Alligator mississippiensis: one gene and its partner. The protein of the gene in region 1 interacts with the protein of each later gene in a biochemical or structural test. Links are inferred from orthologs where the notes say so. Each region holds a gene or a part of one and is shown on either strand. Other genes may lie near its edges. The genes, in order: SORBS1 and FLOT1.

Region 1 (8,747 bases):
ATACTGTTATCAGCTCCCCACTCACCCAGGCTTGCTTGCCTGTCAGTTTGCTGCAGACAGTATATAGAAGCAGGGAGGGAAAGTGAAAAGCTCTGTATCATCAGCAGATGCATACACTGCACACCCTGACTTGCCTCAGAGTGCAGGCTGGCAACACTTGTCCCCTTTGAGCAGTGAGCAGGGAAAAGGCTGGGACTGTAGGCATGGTGGGGGTTTACACCCCTCCCTAATCAGAGCCCTGCTGGGGCCTCAGTTTAGCTCTGTGGAAGGGCAGGGCTCCAGCCTAAGCCACTGCAGGCATGTGCCTGAGTTTCCTTAGTGCAGAGAGATTATCTGTATGGTTGGAAACCGGTTAAGCTTAGCCAAGTTAAAGTAACCTACAAAGTTTGAATCAGTTCAGGCTCAGGCTTTTTGAATGTCTGTCCCTAGCCGTAAGGGCCGTTTCCAGTCCATCACACTGCTGGTGATCATTACCTTATGTGAAATGAGTGGGATTCTATGTGAAGTAGGTGCAGGCTGGCAAGAGAAGGCTACAGTCTGGCTTGTCATTATCTAATCCTGTTTATAAAAGGTCAGTGTTTGTTATTCTTTTATAGGAGGGTAACAGAGCCGGAGTTCTCTTGCCATCCAGGAGTTATTGGGTACAGCGTGTTTGATCCTCCCCTGCCCTGCACTTGTACAAGGTGGTGGTGGTGGAGATGACCTTGTCCCAATTACTGTGTTTTACTACCACTATACAGTACAGCGTGCCAGAGGGTGAATCAGGCTCCTTGTGGGAGCTGGCAGCAGGCCTGGGCCCAGGTATTTCGTGGTTGGTGTAGCACCCATTCTTTTCAGTGGGATTTACCATCATTTAACTAAGTCTCTATTCTTGTCGTCTTCCCTGAGGTACCATGTCTATTCAGGAAACATAACCCGTTTAAAGTACTTCTCTGCCTGGGTTCCTAAAGTGGGTGCTGCTTTCAGTCCTTAGATTGCAGCCAGGAGACTAAACAAGTGTGTTTCCCTTCCCTGTCACTTGGGGAAGAGCCTTTTTTGCCAGCTTATCTCTGACCTATGCTCCCCTTTCCCACAGACGGTCAGCTGGTTACAGGTTTCCTGCTGGATTAATGGTCAGATTACTGTAAAGAGGCCACTTGCCTACCTCTTGACCTCTGCTGACCCTGCATAGTTGCCTTGAGTAGATATAGGGGCAGGAGTTCTTGCTTCTAAGAACAAGTCTGGGGTTGGGAGGAGGTTGGTGGGGGGTTAGGAACATATTAAAGAGGGCTAGCAGAGGCCATCTCTTCACAGCGAGTGAAAAGCTTGGCATCTAGTGACTACCTGAACAAGACACAAACAGTGCTATGCTGCAGTTGCCTCTTGGGCCATACCGCTTTTACAGTAAGCTGCCTACCAGATATATCAGGGTGCCAGCCTTAGAATTCTGAGCATCACATGACTGGGTTTTGCTGTACCAGGCTCCAAAATTCAGTCTCAGTTCTGAGCTACCTTAGAGATCCAGGAGTTTGGAGCAGCAAGGTCCATTTGGGCTCATCCCTGATTGCTCTTTGGGCTCTGGGAAACATTGAAATCAGAATGCATGTGGATTTTTGGTAACCAGCTAGAAACACAAACAAGGCTTGCTGAGGTTTGCAGATAACTGAATGAGTCTCTGCTTATTTATAGTATTGTGTGGAAGTTGAGCAAAAGCAATATCTGTAACTGAATTTAACACTGAGATTTAACCCCAAGAATTCAAAAGGAATAGAACTGAATTTACAGCATTCTACACTACTTTGGAAGTGTCAGGGACCAGCTCCCCTTCTTTTCCTGCTGAAGAAGCCAATTTGCCCCTTCCCAAGTACATCTTCTCCTGAGATCTCAGGAACCAGTTTTTCCCAAGCCCCCACTGTGGCACAGAACTCTGTAATTCCTCTTCTGAAACAATGACCTGGTACCTTCATTGACACTGAGGGACCACATGCACAAGAAACTGTGATACAGCTGAGGGGAGTCATGCATGAGTAGCTGTCTAAGGCAATCGTGGTATGAAGGGTGCTATTCCTGTAGTGAACTTTTCTGCCTGGTTTGGAACTAGAAGCAAAACCCATTCATTCACAAATCCTGGGCCTGCCAAAGATTTTCTGTGCAACTTCTGAGCAAGTCTCTGTCACTCCTGGCATGTTTATGCTACTGAAGAGCATGCGCCACTTCTCTGCTTTTGCTTTGCACAGGTCAAACCTGGAAATGAGGCAGTGAAGCTGCCCTGTAGCACTGCTGTCAAGATCTGTCTGGCTCTGCCTCATTTTGAGACTGGTGTGTGTGAAATGCCATGGTTCTGGGTGGTACTTTTTAAGACTACTACAGAAGCAACATTGACATGCCCTTTGACTTTCTGTTCCTCATGTGTAATAATAATATTAATAATACACTTCCCTACTGCATGGGATGTTAGGAAGGCAAACAACATTAAAGAAGGTGAGGTGCTGTCCCACGCTTTAATTACACCAGTGGACTTTAAATTGAAGCTACCACAGGGTTAGTTTTTATTATTGCAGCTTTGTTGCAAGATGTCTGCCATTGTTCCAAAGCTTTGCGCCTCATCTTCAGGGGTGGTTTTAAACACAGCAGAGCGTGTGGCTTCTTGGACTAGTGCAGTAACCTTAGTAGCTCATAGCCCACTATCCCTGGTCCTTTAATGCATATGGTAGCAGCACTCCAGATGAAAAATGTACACAGCTTAAGTTTCTCTCCCCTTTTGGGGGTCCCACCCGATTCAGAAGACCTGGTTCATTACCTCTTAGCTTGAGGCCCTGCAAATCCTACACCAAGGAAATCCAAATCCAGCCTAACCTGTTATCTGAACTCCTCTGAACCTTGGCTCTGGATCCAAGCCTTGCCTCCCTGGCTCCTCTCTATCTAGTCTCTGTGTCACTCATGACTCCTCTTGCTGTTATTTTTACACAGAGTACTCTCTTGACATTTTAATGGTGTTCATTTTTATTACCTGAAAACAAACTGTCAGAGGCTTGTTTACAAACCCTTGGTACACAGCAGGCAGAGAGGCCTTGTAGCTGACAGGCATTCTCACGTGGTTAGGCACCAGAAACAGACTTGGACAAGAGGACCAAGATATCTTCTGGTGGATCTCCTATCTTGTAGGGACATGTAAACAGTGTGCAGTTAATCTAATCAGAACTGCCAGCAGATGCACCATTTATTTTGGAAACTGTGTGTTCGTTTTGGTCAGTCTTCCTGCTTTTGTTGGTGCAGTTGGGTTTGTTTTGTAGAGGGGCCACAGCAGGGGCTGACTACTCAGAACACAAGTGTTTTCCATGATCCTTTAGATTGACTGTAAAATATGCCTAAATTAACTTCTGAATCCCAACATGCATGGAGCTCAAGTTGTGTACGAGCCCAGATCCAAATTTCACAGTGAGCCAAATCCACTCAAAATTCCAGCTCTAAGCTGTTTCTTCTGCCATTTGCACATTTGAAACCAGATATGAATTTTTGAGATTGGAATCCCCTTTAACACTGGCAATAACTGATGACGCACATTTAGTACATTGATACACTGACCTTCAGATGTGCAATCAATTCTAAGTACGTGGGTAGACCAAAACTGCTTCCTAACCTCTTCAAATATATGAATCAATTTATTAGACCAGGACTTTAGGTGTCCCTGACGATACTTTAATGCTGCATTTGACTGGAGGTTGGTATTGGAATTCCAAAAGATGGGTTGGAAAATAGAAATAGGCTTTAGTTACTGTGAAACTGGCTCTAGATTTCAAACAGGCCCAGTGTTGTATATGTACCTATGCATACAGCCTGCAACTCGCTGCATTTCTGTTCCTTTCTTGGCCAATCTCTGTATCAGGCTCTTGTGAGACACTTGCCTTTTCATAGTTTGTGTACGCTGTATTATGTGGTGACCTGCGCACTCCAAATTTCTCCAGATCCTAAAACCGGGGCTTGGGTAGCAGGTTTGACCCTATGCAGTTGAATGGGAGATGAGCAGGAACAGCAGAGGCTTACTGGAGACCAGGACTTGACAGTCTCTTCTGCAGTATTAGCACTGGTGCCTGAGTCAGTGGCTGAAAACCACTGGACTGGAATGCATAGTCTGGCATAGCGTATTTGCCAGGTTTGGCTTGACACTGATCTTCTGGGTGGCCTTGGAGAAGTCACTTATAGGAAGACAGCCCTCCTGGGCTCTTTGTTGCCTGTGTGCATACACTTGAAGAGTTGCTGCTCAGAGAGAAGAGGGGTGTGGCCCTACCCTCTGGCCTCAGTACCTGGCAGATCAAGGCTGTCGCAAGACAGGTACTCACTGCCCTCTTCCAAAGGCTGACACTGCTCCTTCTCTATCGTGCGTCTCCCTCCAGAAGGAATCCTGGCTCAGCCAGCCTCTTCTAAAGACCCTTCTCTTCCCTAGACACCCCAATGTGAGCTCAGACTCTATGGCTCCCTCTGCCTGATATATTTCACAGGAATCCCCATGGAGCTGAGCCTTTCTTTCTCTCTCAAGCACATGATTTCTCTGTGTATCAAGTATTTATACTACAGACCTCAGTCTGCCAATAGTGGGAACACAAGCCAGCTCCTCTGATCCTAGTCATTGAAACAGGATCTCTGGCTCCCGTAGACACATGCTAATGAAAATGTAATGAAAATGTTCTCGTCGACAGGCAGACGCTGCCTGCCCCCTCCCCTCCCCACGCACGGCAGTCTCCATGTGCTTCACCAACTATTTTTGTAAAGGTCTGTCCCTCATTTACCTTCCATCCCCCTCCTGCCCCCACCCCCTCCCCATGCTGTATCCGCCCAGGCATCAGATCTGCTGGAATAGTCCATGTATGCATGATGTCAGAGGCAAAGGAATGCAAGGCAGGCTGGGAGGAGGCGGTTGATTGTGAGCAAGCCTGGTGACAGAATGACATGACTAAGAGCCAGCCGGCTAATTAAAGCAGAGAGGTGGGAGGAGCAAAGTATTTAAGGGTGCCAGGGAGGGTGAGGCCTCCCCAAACTTCTCCTTACACTTCAGTGAGCCAAGCAGCAGAGCAACACAGAGCAAGCCTTTGTTAACCCTTTCACGTCTCACCTCTGGTTAAACCGGGTAGGTGCCAGAAAATGGCACCTTTAACTGAAAAGCCTGATCCAAGGTAAGGATGCTACTGTCTGATTTCTGACTAGCAAAATGCCTCTGGTGCTTTGCCCTCCCAGGCCTTTGTGTGGTACTGGCCTTGGATGAGTGCAGTGTTAGCTTGCACCAGCTGGGGTGACACTCATTACTTTGCAGATCATCTATCAGTTAGAAGAAAGGAGTTATCCATGTATTTTTGAAAGGGTTTCACATTGCCCTGCATTCCTGGAGATGGGCAAGTCCTGACCTCCATTTCTTCTTCCTTTCTACCAGAGTACCAGGGAAAAGGGGAGTTTGCAAAATTTGTGTATTGGTTTTAATACTGGCTTGTCACTGAATTTGGAGTGATAGGCACAAATCTGGGCTTTTGCCCGTTTTATTTTGCATCTTATGCTCAAATGTTTTGAATCCTATCTTTCTTTTATTAATTCTTTTGGGCAATTCAACTAGTGTGGGTATTAAACTAGAAAAATGAAGAGAATGGGCATTTAAAGAGTGGTTTTTGAGGGTAATGCTTTGCTATTCCTGAAGGCACTTTGAATGTGAGGTCAAATTTGGCCTCTGCCTTTTAACATTTCAGATCAATCTATACGTGAAATATTCTTCCTAGGGCCTTTCTAGCGCTGGGTGCATGCATAGCAATTACAGTCTTAATTTTAGTCTGTAAATGACATCAGAGCCAGCATCGTCCAGTGGACGAAGCCTAGGATTAAGAGTCAGGACTTCTGATTCTGTTCCCAGATGTGCTTCTGTCATGCTGTGTGCCTTTGGGCATGTCACTGTGGCCACTCATTTGTGTTCAGCTAGAGTTTGTGCCAATCGTACTGGCTATAAAGCCAGCACAACCAGCCCCCCCGGGGGAACAGACCCAGCAGAGTGACTACACTACACTACACCTCCTCTGTGCAGTCCGTGGCATAAGAGTATGTGACCCAGAAGAGGAGAGCACATCTAGAGTTACCCCTGTGCATTAGTTAAACTTGGCTTTTGCAACAGGTTGTTACAGCTGTACATGCATCTCAAGAGTTTGCTTTTATTCTTTAGCTTATGCTGGAAAGGACCAGATTATTCCCTTAGAATTTGGTTCCTATCTTCCCCTCAATCCTGTACCAGTTTAGTTGATTTTAGCTGCAGTTAAAAATTGGGGCCTGCATCTCCCATCGCTGTACGATGCTGCCTTATTGCTTACATGCCTACCTTATGTGCTGCTGAATTTGTGAACATTTGTGTGCAGTGCTTTGAAGAAAAACGTGAATTGTTAACACTGGTCCCCAATTAAAAAAACTCAGTACTAGTAGCTAACAGTTTTCACAGTGTATGATCAGAGATACCAGGGATTAGTGCATGATCAGAAATGTGTTCCCCATATCTTAGACAGTTAGGGAGCTTGGTATCATCAGATGTTGCAGTGCAGTGACGTCCTATTCTTAGAGACACCGCTTGTTTAAATCTAGGTAGCAGTATTATTAAAGAGCTGCTTTATTCATGCATCTCACTGCAAATCTTAACCTCCCCACTCATGTTTTAAGGGAGTTTTTATCTGTATATAAATTTTATAGTTTAGGCCAATCTCTTCTTAACATTTTGACAATGACAAATGGTTTTACTCAGATTTATTTACTGCTTCATTTGTTAGTAGCTGTATAACTTGAAAGCTGCCTTCAACATTGTTTTACTGCACAAAGTTACATCATGAGGAGATTGATGGATACTTTTGGGATTATCTAATCTATTGTGTTTATAGGGTGCCATTCAGGGTAGAAAACAGGCAGTTTATTATGTGTCTGTGTCTCTGGAGAGTTGCATCAAAATTCTGTGGCCAGCTGCATGACTCCATGGCTTTAGTACTGCAAATAATTGGGGTTTCTGGAATTTGCAGCCATGATTGTGTCCATTCATTTGGAACAGATGTTCTGCAAAATCAGAAATTCCCCCAAATTCAAGGTGCCTATTGCCATAAGCATAGTACAAGAGTCTCTAAATTGCACATGTATTCCAACCAACTTGGGCCAAATGAATCCATTGTATACAGCTCACATATTTTCTCTGAGCTGAAATGTAAAACCAATAACACTAGGCCTGTGCAAAATGGAAAGTATTCATTTCAGATTTGGATTTGGCAATTCGGAGGGACAGTGATTCGATTAGGTGATTCGAATCACTGTCCTGATTTTGATTTGGCCAAATCCGAAGATATTCAGCACCGAATCCTATTCAGCCATAGACTATACAGGCAGGCAGTGCCAGTAGGAGCGGCTGGGGGAGCAGTCGGACAAGCCCTGGCTTGAGCCGGCAGCCCCGGGAAAAGGCATGGTTTGTCTGACTGCTTCCCCCACCCCCCCCAGTGGGATGAGGCAGGCAGTGCTGGCTGCCCTGGGACAAGCCACAGGGGCTGGGGGAAATGACTGGGGAGCTGGGAGATCAAACTGGGAGCTGTGGGGAAGCCCCTATTTGTTCCCCCAGCCCCTGATCATTCCTCCCAACCCCTGTGGCTTCTCCTGGGGCTGGCAGCACTGCCTGCCTCACTCCAGTGGGGGAGCAGCGGACGAGCCACAGCTTGAGCCGGCAGCCCTGGGAGAAGCTGTGGGGCCTGGGGGGAATGATTGGGGAGCTAGGGGAAATGATTAGGGGCTGGGGGAACAAACAGAGGCTTCCCCCCAGCTCCCAGTTCAGTCCCCCAGCTACTGACCATTCCTCTGAGCTCCCCATTTATTCCCCCCAGCCCCTGCAGCTTCTCCTGGGGCTGCCAGCCCTGCCTCATCCTAGTGGGGGGCCAGCCAGGGGACAAGCTGCATCTTTTCCTGGGGCTGCTGGCTCAAGCCAGGGCTCATCCGGTTGTTCCCCCAGTTGCTTTTGCCAGCACTGCCTAGTGCCTGCCTGTACAGTCTATGGCCAAATCTCCGAATCTCTCCGAATCTTTCTGAATCCATTTGGAGGCTTCCGATTCAATTCGGAGTGTTTAATGAGTCTCCCAATTTGATCTGGATTCAGGGATTTGGCTGCTGAATAGGGCCGAATCTCCTCCAGATTGAATTGGCTACCAAAGCTTCACGTAGCTCTACCAAACACCTATGGTAATTGTGGATCCCATGATACTTTTTGAAGGAACAGGGTGTACTAAACCTGGAGTCATTAACTTCATTTCCTCTTATTAATTCTGACCATATTGAAATTCTAGTTATTACATTCTCCTCACAGCCTCCCTAAGATTAGGTACCCTGACCTGCGCATTGTTGCTATGTGCTCATTTGCTGATACCACCCCAAAGTTGGCAGCATTTCAGGTGGATGTAGTATGTTCCCATATATAGACTGTAAATCAGTGTAAATTTGCAAAGTGCTCTAGGATCCTATGTGATTGGGGTTGAAACAAAACCTCATGGCTCAGTAGCATCGTTTTTTGTTTTTGTTTTTTCGGTGTGGGTAGGTGTGTACGTGTCTTGGAAGTCAGTCCATATATAAACTAGATATTACTAAGATCCAACCCAAAGTGCTTTTTTCTTTGTTTAATGTCTGTCTGATATTTTAGGATATGGTTGGCTGGTGCATGTGGAGGTCTGTATTTATATAGAGACATGGTTAAAAAATACAAGCCTCTCGTGCTAGTAAAGAGAGCA
Region 2 (7,892 bases), on another chromosome or scaffold:
GATGGGGGTGGCTGGGACGATGGGGTGTGGGGAGGACGCCTGGGGAGATGGGGATCGCTGCGGGGCAGGACGCCTGGGTCCCTGGAGGAAGGGGGGAGCCGGGCCAGCAGGACCCCTGGGTCCCCGGGGGGGCACGGCCGGCTCCCAGCAGGGCCTGGCCGGGGAGGCCGTGGGGGACTCGAGGCGGGGCCCGGGCTCCTGGTTCTGGGGGGTCTTGCCCCGTGCCAGGACCCCCGTGCCTCAGTTTCCCCAGTGCAGGCGGAGGAGCAGCAGAGACGCCCCTTCGCCCTCCCCGGCTGTGACTCGGCCCCGGTGACTCGGCTCCAACCTGCTGCTGCTTATCCCAGCCTGCCCCGGGGCTCCAGCGCCTGGGCTCCCCAATCCCCACTGCTGCCCTGGCCCGGCCAGATGACGGGGCAGCACGTGGCCTGGGCTGGTGACTCGCCCCTTAGGAAGCAGTGTGGGGCACAGGACACGCGATAGGCCGGGCACAGCTGGAGTCTCCTTCTGTGCTGTGGGGCCAGGCCAGGTTGGGGGCGAAGCATTCTGGGTAATGGCCGTGCTGAGCTTGGAGTCTGGTGGGAGCCAGGCATTCTGGGTAATGTCCCTCGGCTGGGGCCTGAGGGGGCTCCTAGCTGGGTGCAAAGCATTGTGGGTAACGTGCTAGTGATATGGCTTAGGAGGCATTCCTGGCCTGCTGCAGCATGAGACATGCTGGGGCTGGCACAAGGCATTCTGGGTTGTCATAGGTGCAGGGCATTCTGGGTAAAGGTGCCGGGGATTGGGGCTATGAGGCACAAGGCAGTCTCCGTGGCACCAGTAGGTGCCGGTCCCATCACTGGGTTGGTTATGAGGTATTCTTGCCTGGGCATGAGGCAATCTGGGTAACGTGAGGCATTTGGGGTGCCTTGTGAGCCTTGTGGCAGTACATTGTGAGTAACCTGGTGGCTCTCTCCTCTTTCCTCCCAGGTGAAGCGATACTACCCACCGGAGGAGCGCTGCTTCGCCAAGCGCCTGCTGGTCGTGCTTTTGGCCATCCTCTTCTTCCAGATCTACAGCGCCGATGAAGACCTCCCCATGGGCCCCAGCGAGGTCGGAGGGGCCTTGTATGACCCCCCCATCCACGAAGATCCCCTGGCTCCTGCCAGTGCTGTGCCGTGGTCCTGCCGCCCCCACGACCCCACTGTAGACATCTCCCAGTTCCTGGCCTGCAACCCAGCTGCCTTCTGAAGGCCTGGCCCGCCTTGGTGAGGGGATTGTGGGGGACAGCCTGGCACCCAAGGGGGTTCCAGGCCCTGGCTGCTAAGGGGTTAACCCTGCCTCGTTAGGAGCTGCTGCTTCTGAAGGACCCAGTGTCAGCTGCAACTTGAAGCCTCCAGAGCAGGGAAGACTGACATTCAGGCCCGGCGCGGGTCGCTGGTGGACAGTGTTGGGATGATTAATATTAATATTAATATTTATTTAATATTGTTATTGTTATTAATTATTTAAATTATATTTATTGTAATAATGGTGTATTTATGGAGGGGTCTCTTGATAACTTAAAGGAACTGAATAAAAACCATGTGACTAGTCATGCCTGTGACATGTTGTGGGACCTGTCTTGTCCTGTGTCGGGGGTCATTGGAGTGGTAAGAGTCAGATGCCCCCCACCCCCAAGATACCCCATGGAGGGGCAAAGCTCAATGCCTGTTGGGTGTCTTGGAGGAGGGAAGGGAAAGGATTGGCCAATCGGGTGGTTGTGGAGCCTTCCTGGTAGTCTGGTGGGTTGGGTTAGAGTGGGAAGATGAGTTAAGGTATTGACACGCCCCCACCATGGAAAAAGGAATTGGCTTTCCCTTATTGAGGTGTCCCTCTTCAGTGAGGGAAGCTGATTTTTTTTTTTTTTTTTTTTTTTGCTGCCCAAAAAGAGCAGCAGTAGCACTCCTATTCAGCTCCCCAGCAAAATTGACTAGACTCCTGCTAACCTCTTTCCTCTAGGTGTTAACAGCCCTCTCTCCCCTTATGTCTTAATTACCTTGATGTGCTGCTAAGTAAGCATATCTTGATGATCCATTTGCATCCCTCTTCTCCCCCCTCCCCCCCACCCCAGTTCCTCTTATTTCACAACCCTGAGGACTGTCTTCTAGTAATGCTTTTGAAATATGAGGTTGGCCCATAGAGTGGATTTTCCCACAGCATGTAAGGCTTCAGCTTTTGGCTGGATATCCAAGAGTTGCTGACAAATTTAGCTGTGGGGGGAGGGGAGGGGTGTTAAAAGTGGAGGAGCAGGATGGGAAGGTGGGGGAGTGGATTGGCTACTGTCTGGCCAATCCACCTCCCCAAAAAGAAGGCTGGGTGATTTTTTTTGGGGGGGGGGGGGGGGGCGGGCACCAGAAGAAAAAAAACAGAGCAGCAGGTTGGCTCAGCTTTGTGAGGAGTATGTGGGGCCTGGTGCCCGGGTGTCTGTTCCCAGGGCATGGGGGATGAGAGCGGGGACGAGGGGACGAGTGCCTGGATCCTGCTATTTGACTGGAGTTGTGTCCTCTCCAGCAATGACATCAGAGTTGATCCCAGTGACCTTGAACCTGATTGGGGGGGGAGGGGGGGTAATGCACTGCCATGGTGTGAAGCTGCCTACCCGCATGTGGGCCTGTGACTAAGCTGCCCTGTACTGGCTGGTGTGGGGGTGATTTCTCAACCACTGTTCTCAGAGCTGTGTAGTCATAGGCAGACCCAGCACCCATGGGGAAGTCCCATCTCCATCCACCCACCTCCATCCATTGGGTCCTCACATCCACTGCCCCCTGCACCTCCTCCCTTCCCTCCACCGCATGCTCCCTGCACCTGTTGCCTCTCCCTTTCCATCTATTGTTCTATGCCTGCATCTTCTTCCCTCACTCCATGCCCACAGGACCTCTCCATCCACCCACTGATTCATTTGTCCACCTACATCTCCTTTCATCTGCCTATCCGTTGCTCCACCCCCACATCCTCTTCCTTCCTTCCTTCCTGGCACAACACATTCACCCCCTGCCACCAGTCCCCTCCATCCATCCCCGGTAGTCCCTTCCTTCCTTCCCTCTCTCTCCATGCTGTACCTCCCCACCCCATGCACACTCCATCTGTCACCCGGTCTCTTTCCTTCCTTCCCCCTTACCCCACTCTCCTGATTTCCCCCCCCGGCCCAGTCCAGGAGTCCATCTGTCCATCCAAGACCACCCCCATCTCAATCTATCTGTCCATCCCACTTTCTCAGAGCTATTCCTGGCCAAGGCCACGGCTGGGCCCTGCCCTTGGCGGTGTTGATAAGGGGCTATTTTCTGCACAGAGAACACGGCATCCTTGCCTAGCTGGAGGTGGGGAGCAGGGGCGGGACTCCTGGGTTCTCTGGGAGTTGCGGGGCTGAGGGGGGATTGGGGGTGTTGAACTGAAATGTCCTGCTCAGTCCCGCAGACAGATCTCTCCTGCCTGATGGGGGGGTGGGGTGTGTGTGTGGGGGGGGGTGGGGGTTGAAGCGTGGACTCCATGCATGTGCATGGGCACATGCATGTGTTTCCTGGGTGCCTGGGTTCATTGTGTGTGCACAACACACCTGGGTTCTGTGCGTGTTTGTGCGCTGGACGCCTGCGTTCTGTGTGCGGGTCCCAGAGGCATGTATGTGCGTGCGTGCGTGCATGCATGTGTGCCCCGGATGCCTGGGTTCCCTGCATAGGCACCTCCCAGGCTGCTTTGCCACCCCCCTCCCCCCTTCTTGTTCATGGCCGGGCCCGGCTTCCCGGACCTGCCGCCAGCGGTGCCCGCAGCCACATCCGGCCCCGCTTCTGGCACCAGGCCCGTGGGAAGGGGGGGGACCCCCCCGCTCTCCATCTAAGGGCACCACAGGACCCACCCCTGCCCTGCCATGGAGCTGGGGAAACAGGCGGGGTGGGGAGGGGCGGGGCCTGGGCACTTGGGCTGTCTGGGGCGGGAGAAGGGGGCGGGGCCTCCTGGGCTCTAGGCCTAGACTCCTCCCCCTCCCCCGCCCAGCCGGTGGCCCTCGCCCCCGCCCCGCAGCGTCCCGCCCCCGCCGCCCGGCCCTGCAGCGCTCCCCGCCGCCAGCAGGGGGCAGCCCCCGCCCGGCAGCAGGAGGCCGCCGCAGGGGCTCGGGCGGGGGCTGCCGGGAGCGGGGCGGATCCGGGCGAGGCTGCGGCAGGAAGGCGGCAGGAGCCTGCGGATCGGGATCGGGCCCGGGCACGGGGTAATTGCGGGGGAGGGAGCCCCGGTGACCGGCCAGATGAGACCCCCGATCCGCCGGGCTCTCGGGGAGGGGTGGGGAGGCTGGGAGCCCGGCCGCCTGGGTCCCATGCCCCTGTGTCTCTCCCCGCAGCCCCCGCTGCTGCCACGATGTTTTTCACTTGCGGCCCCAACGAGGCCATGGTGGTGTCAGGTGAGTCGCACCCCAGAGCCGGCTGCGTCCCGGGCCCTGGGCTGTTTTATGTGGCTGTCCCCAGCTGCCCTACCCCAGAGCCAGCTGCATTGGGGGGAGGGGGGATGTCCCTGGGCTGTTCTGTGCAGCCATTGTCCTGCCCCACCCTAGAACCAGTTGCATCCCAGCTTGGCTGCTTCCATATGCTGTTATATGTGGTGGTCTCCTGCTTCACCCCAGAGCCAGCTGCAACTCCAGCCTCTCAGCCATTCTTTGTGGCCATTGCCACCTGCTTCACCTCAGACGCTGCTGCTTCCCAGCCTAGGGGGGCTCCCTGGGCTGGTCTGGGTGGCTGTTCCCGTCCCACCCCAGAGCTAGCTGCATTGCCAGCTTGGGGGTCTCCTTGGGCCAATCTATGTAGGTGTCCCCAACTATCCCACCCCAGAGCCAGCTGCATCTGGGCACGAGGTGGCTGTTAACCCTTTGCTCCCTTTGCCGCAGGCTTCTGCCGCAGCCCCCCTGTGATGGTGGCTGGGGGCCGGGTCTTCGTCCTGCCCTGCATACAGCAGATCCAGAGGCGAGTCCCAGGAAGGGGTACTTCCGGGGGGGGGGTCTAGAGCCCATTGATTTGGTTGGGGGGGTGCTGAATTGGAAAGACCCATTGAACTGGTCCCTAGTGGGGGGAGGGGTGCCAGGGATTGGGCAATCTCTCCTCTGCCGACCCCCTGCCTCCACCCTCGCAGGATCTCCCTGAACACGCTGACCCTCAACGTGAAGAGCGAGAAGGTCTACACCCGCCATGGGGTCCCCATCTCTGTCACTGGCATCGCCCAGGTAACCCCCCGGTCGCCATAGGGATGGGAGAGATCCCTCCTGCCCCCTTCCCTCAGTGGTACGGCCAGTACCCTCCCCCCACCCCCACCATGGTACTAGCCACCCCCTACTCCCAATACCCCATGGGACTGCCCCTGCTGACCCCCCTCCACATTCCTGACAGTGGTATTGGCAGTTCTCCCTCAGCCCACCCCCATTACCCCCATGTGGTACCTTCCACTGGGCCCCCTTCCTTGTCACCCCCCTTGGTACTGGCCGTCTTGCCCTCCCCATTGGTACTCACTTCTGTGCTCCCCAACCCATCTCCCAGCTCATTCCCCTGTGGTCATTATCCCTGGCCCATTATGCTTTCCCCTATGTGGCACTGGCTACTTTCCCCATCCCCATGCTCCCCATGGTACCACCCACTGCCTCCCCCCAGTTCAGTCCCCTCAGTGGTACTGGCCAGGTCCTTCTCTCCTTCCCCCCCTCAAGTGGTACTGTCCATTTCCCCCTCATGGTACCAGTCATCTTTCCCCAAAAGTGTCCCACAATGGTACCACCCATAGTACCCCATTCCCTGAAATAGTACTGCACACCCCCCAGCATGTTCCTTCATGGTACTGGCCACTCCCTCCACCACTCTGTCCCCCCCCCCAGTTACCCTTAGTGGTACTGGCCAGGTCCTTCTCTTCTCCCAAATGGTACTGGCTGTTCCCTCTCATGGTACCAGCCAGCCCCCACTCCCAGTTTCCCACAATGGTACCATCTGGGCTGCCCTATTTTCCCCCCACATTGGTATTTCCCTGCTATTCCCCCATGGTACTGCCCACCCCCCTTCCTCCATTCCACATGGTACCACCCATTGACCCTACCACCCCCACCCCCCAGTGGTATAGGACAGGTCTTTCTCCCTTTCTCCCCAAGTGGTACTGGCCAGTTCCCCCTCATGGTGCTTTCTGCACCCCCTCCCATGTCCTCCCCCCCCCCATGGTACCTTCCTTCCCAGCTCTGGGTACCAGGGCACCAGATTCCTCCCCCTGTTGGCTGTCACCTGGCAACCAGAGAAGTGGCCCCTTCTTCCTCTTAAAGGGGAAGTTACCCCCACAAGAGCATCCTTTGCGAGTGGGCTGGGTCTTGCCCTGCCCGACCTCGATTGCCCCGCTCCATCCCTGGGCCGCAGGTGAAGATCCAGGGGCAGAACAAGGAGATGCTGGCAGCCGCCTGCCAGATGTTCCTGGGCAAGACGGAGAGTGAGATCACCCACATTGCACTGGAAACGCTGGAGGGGCATCAACGTGCCATCATGGCCCACATGACCGTGGAGGTGGGTGCGGGTCCCTCCCTGCCCCCCAGTCTGCCCTGGTGTCCGTCTGTCGGGGGGAGATCAGGTGTGTGTCCATGTGTCCCTCCTTGCGTGGGGGGTTGTGGGAAAGGAGGGGCCCCTGGGACCAAGACCAGCTTAGGTGGGAGGGCCAGGGGGTGCATCTGTCTGCACATCTCTGGAGGAGGTTGGGTAGGTGTCCATCTGTCTGTCTTAAATCGGGGCACCCCTCAGGACTCACCCTGACCCCCCTCACCCAGGAGATCTACAAGGACCGACAGAAGTTCTCTGAGCAGGTCTTCAAAGTGGCCTCTTCTGACCTGGTGAACATGGGTATCAGCGTGGTCAGCTACACACTCAAGGACATCCATGATGACCAGGTACTTGGTAGCTGGGCTTGTCCACCCAGCCGCACCCCCACCCCCCCCCGGGGGAGGAAGGGGACCTGTGGGCAAGTCCATGGGCAGATCTAGGATTTGGAAATGCAAAGTGAGGTGGCAGCTAAGATGGTGCGTCATCAGCTAGAATACAACACACATTTTTATTCTGTCCAAGGGAAACTAGAAGCTACATGAATATGCTAAGGGGCCAGCGCTATAGAATTCAGTGTAGGAGCAAAGCAAAAACAAATGTAACTCCTGGAATGAGCAGGGGGTTGTGAACTAGGTCCTCCTGAGGTCCCTTCCAACCCAAATTTTCTATGATTCTATGAGTGTGCACTAGTTTATATGTGATCCTAGCAGTAATCTGATAGATGATATATAAAGTTTAAAAAGAAGTGCAACGAAGTAGGCAAACATTCAGGTTCCAATCAAAGTAGAAACAAATATAACTAATGCCATATGTGCTTATTTGCTAGATTATCTATTAAGCTTAAAAAACATACCAAACTAGGCAAAAAACAGACATAATTGTCTGCATGCATTTGTGTCTTTGGCCCTGTAGCTGTTCTACTTAAATGAACATCTCTTATTTGGATTCATAAAACAACATCTAGCCTTCTTGCAAGTTGCAACAATGACTCCAGTAGTTCAATCATTTCTACACCAGATTTAGAAATGGAAGGTGCAGAAGGGGGTGACGCATCATCTCATAGAACAGTGGTTCTCACAACCTTTTTCATACCAGGACCCATTTGTAAACATCAATGGCCAGACCCGACCCAGTACCCCTTACTTCCAACCTGCTGTCCCCTGCTATCTGTGTGTGGGGCAGGGTGTTGGGCAAGGGAAGCCCCACATAGGCTGGAACTCTGCCAGCCTGCAAGGGAAAAGCCACAGTTTCCCACGTTTTTCTCCTTTAAAAGAGAAAACAATTTTAAAGTTTATTCACAACCCTTTCATATATTCTTGTGATCCACTTTTGGGT

What was found.
Region 2: the proteins of SORBS1 (region 1) and FLOT1 form a complex in vitro, tested with the Homo sapiens proteins (2 studies listed by BioGRID). The link is inferred for Alligator mississippiensis from reciprocal best matches to the Homo sapiens genes SORBS1 and FLOT1.

The regions. Positions count from the first base shown.
Region 1 is NC_081829.1:24,745,155-24,753,901, reverse strand, and holds the start of SORBS1 (sorbin and SH3 domain-containing protein 1), read left to right. Parts: upstream 1-5,023; 5' UTR 5,024-5,118; coding exon 5,119-5,150; intron 5,151-8,747. UniProt on the Homo sapiens protein: Plays a role in tyrosine phosphorylation of CBL by linking CBL to the insulin receptor. Required for insulin-stimulated glucose transport. Involved in formation of actin stress fibers and focal adhesions.
Region 2 is NC_081834.1:57,394,348-57,402,239, reverse strand, and holds the start of FLOT1 (flotillin-1), read left to right. Parts: upstream 1-4,110; 5' UTR 4,111-4,219; intron 4,220-4,348; 5' UTR 4,349-4,365; coding exon 4,366-4,408; intron 4,409-4,888; coding exon 4,889-4,964; intron 4,965-5,130; coding exon 5,131-5,221; intron 5,222-6,383; coding exon 6,384-6,527; intron 6,528-6,784; coding exon 6,785-6,904; intron 6,905-7,892. Other genes in the region: IER3 (radiation-inducible immediate-early gene IEX-1), read left to right, coding at 970-1,230. UniProt on the Homo sapiens protein: May act as a scaffolding protein within caveolar membranes, functionally participating in formation of caveolae or caveolae-like vesicles.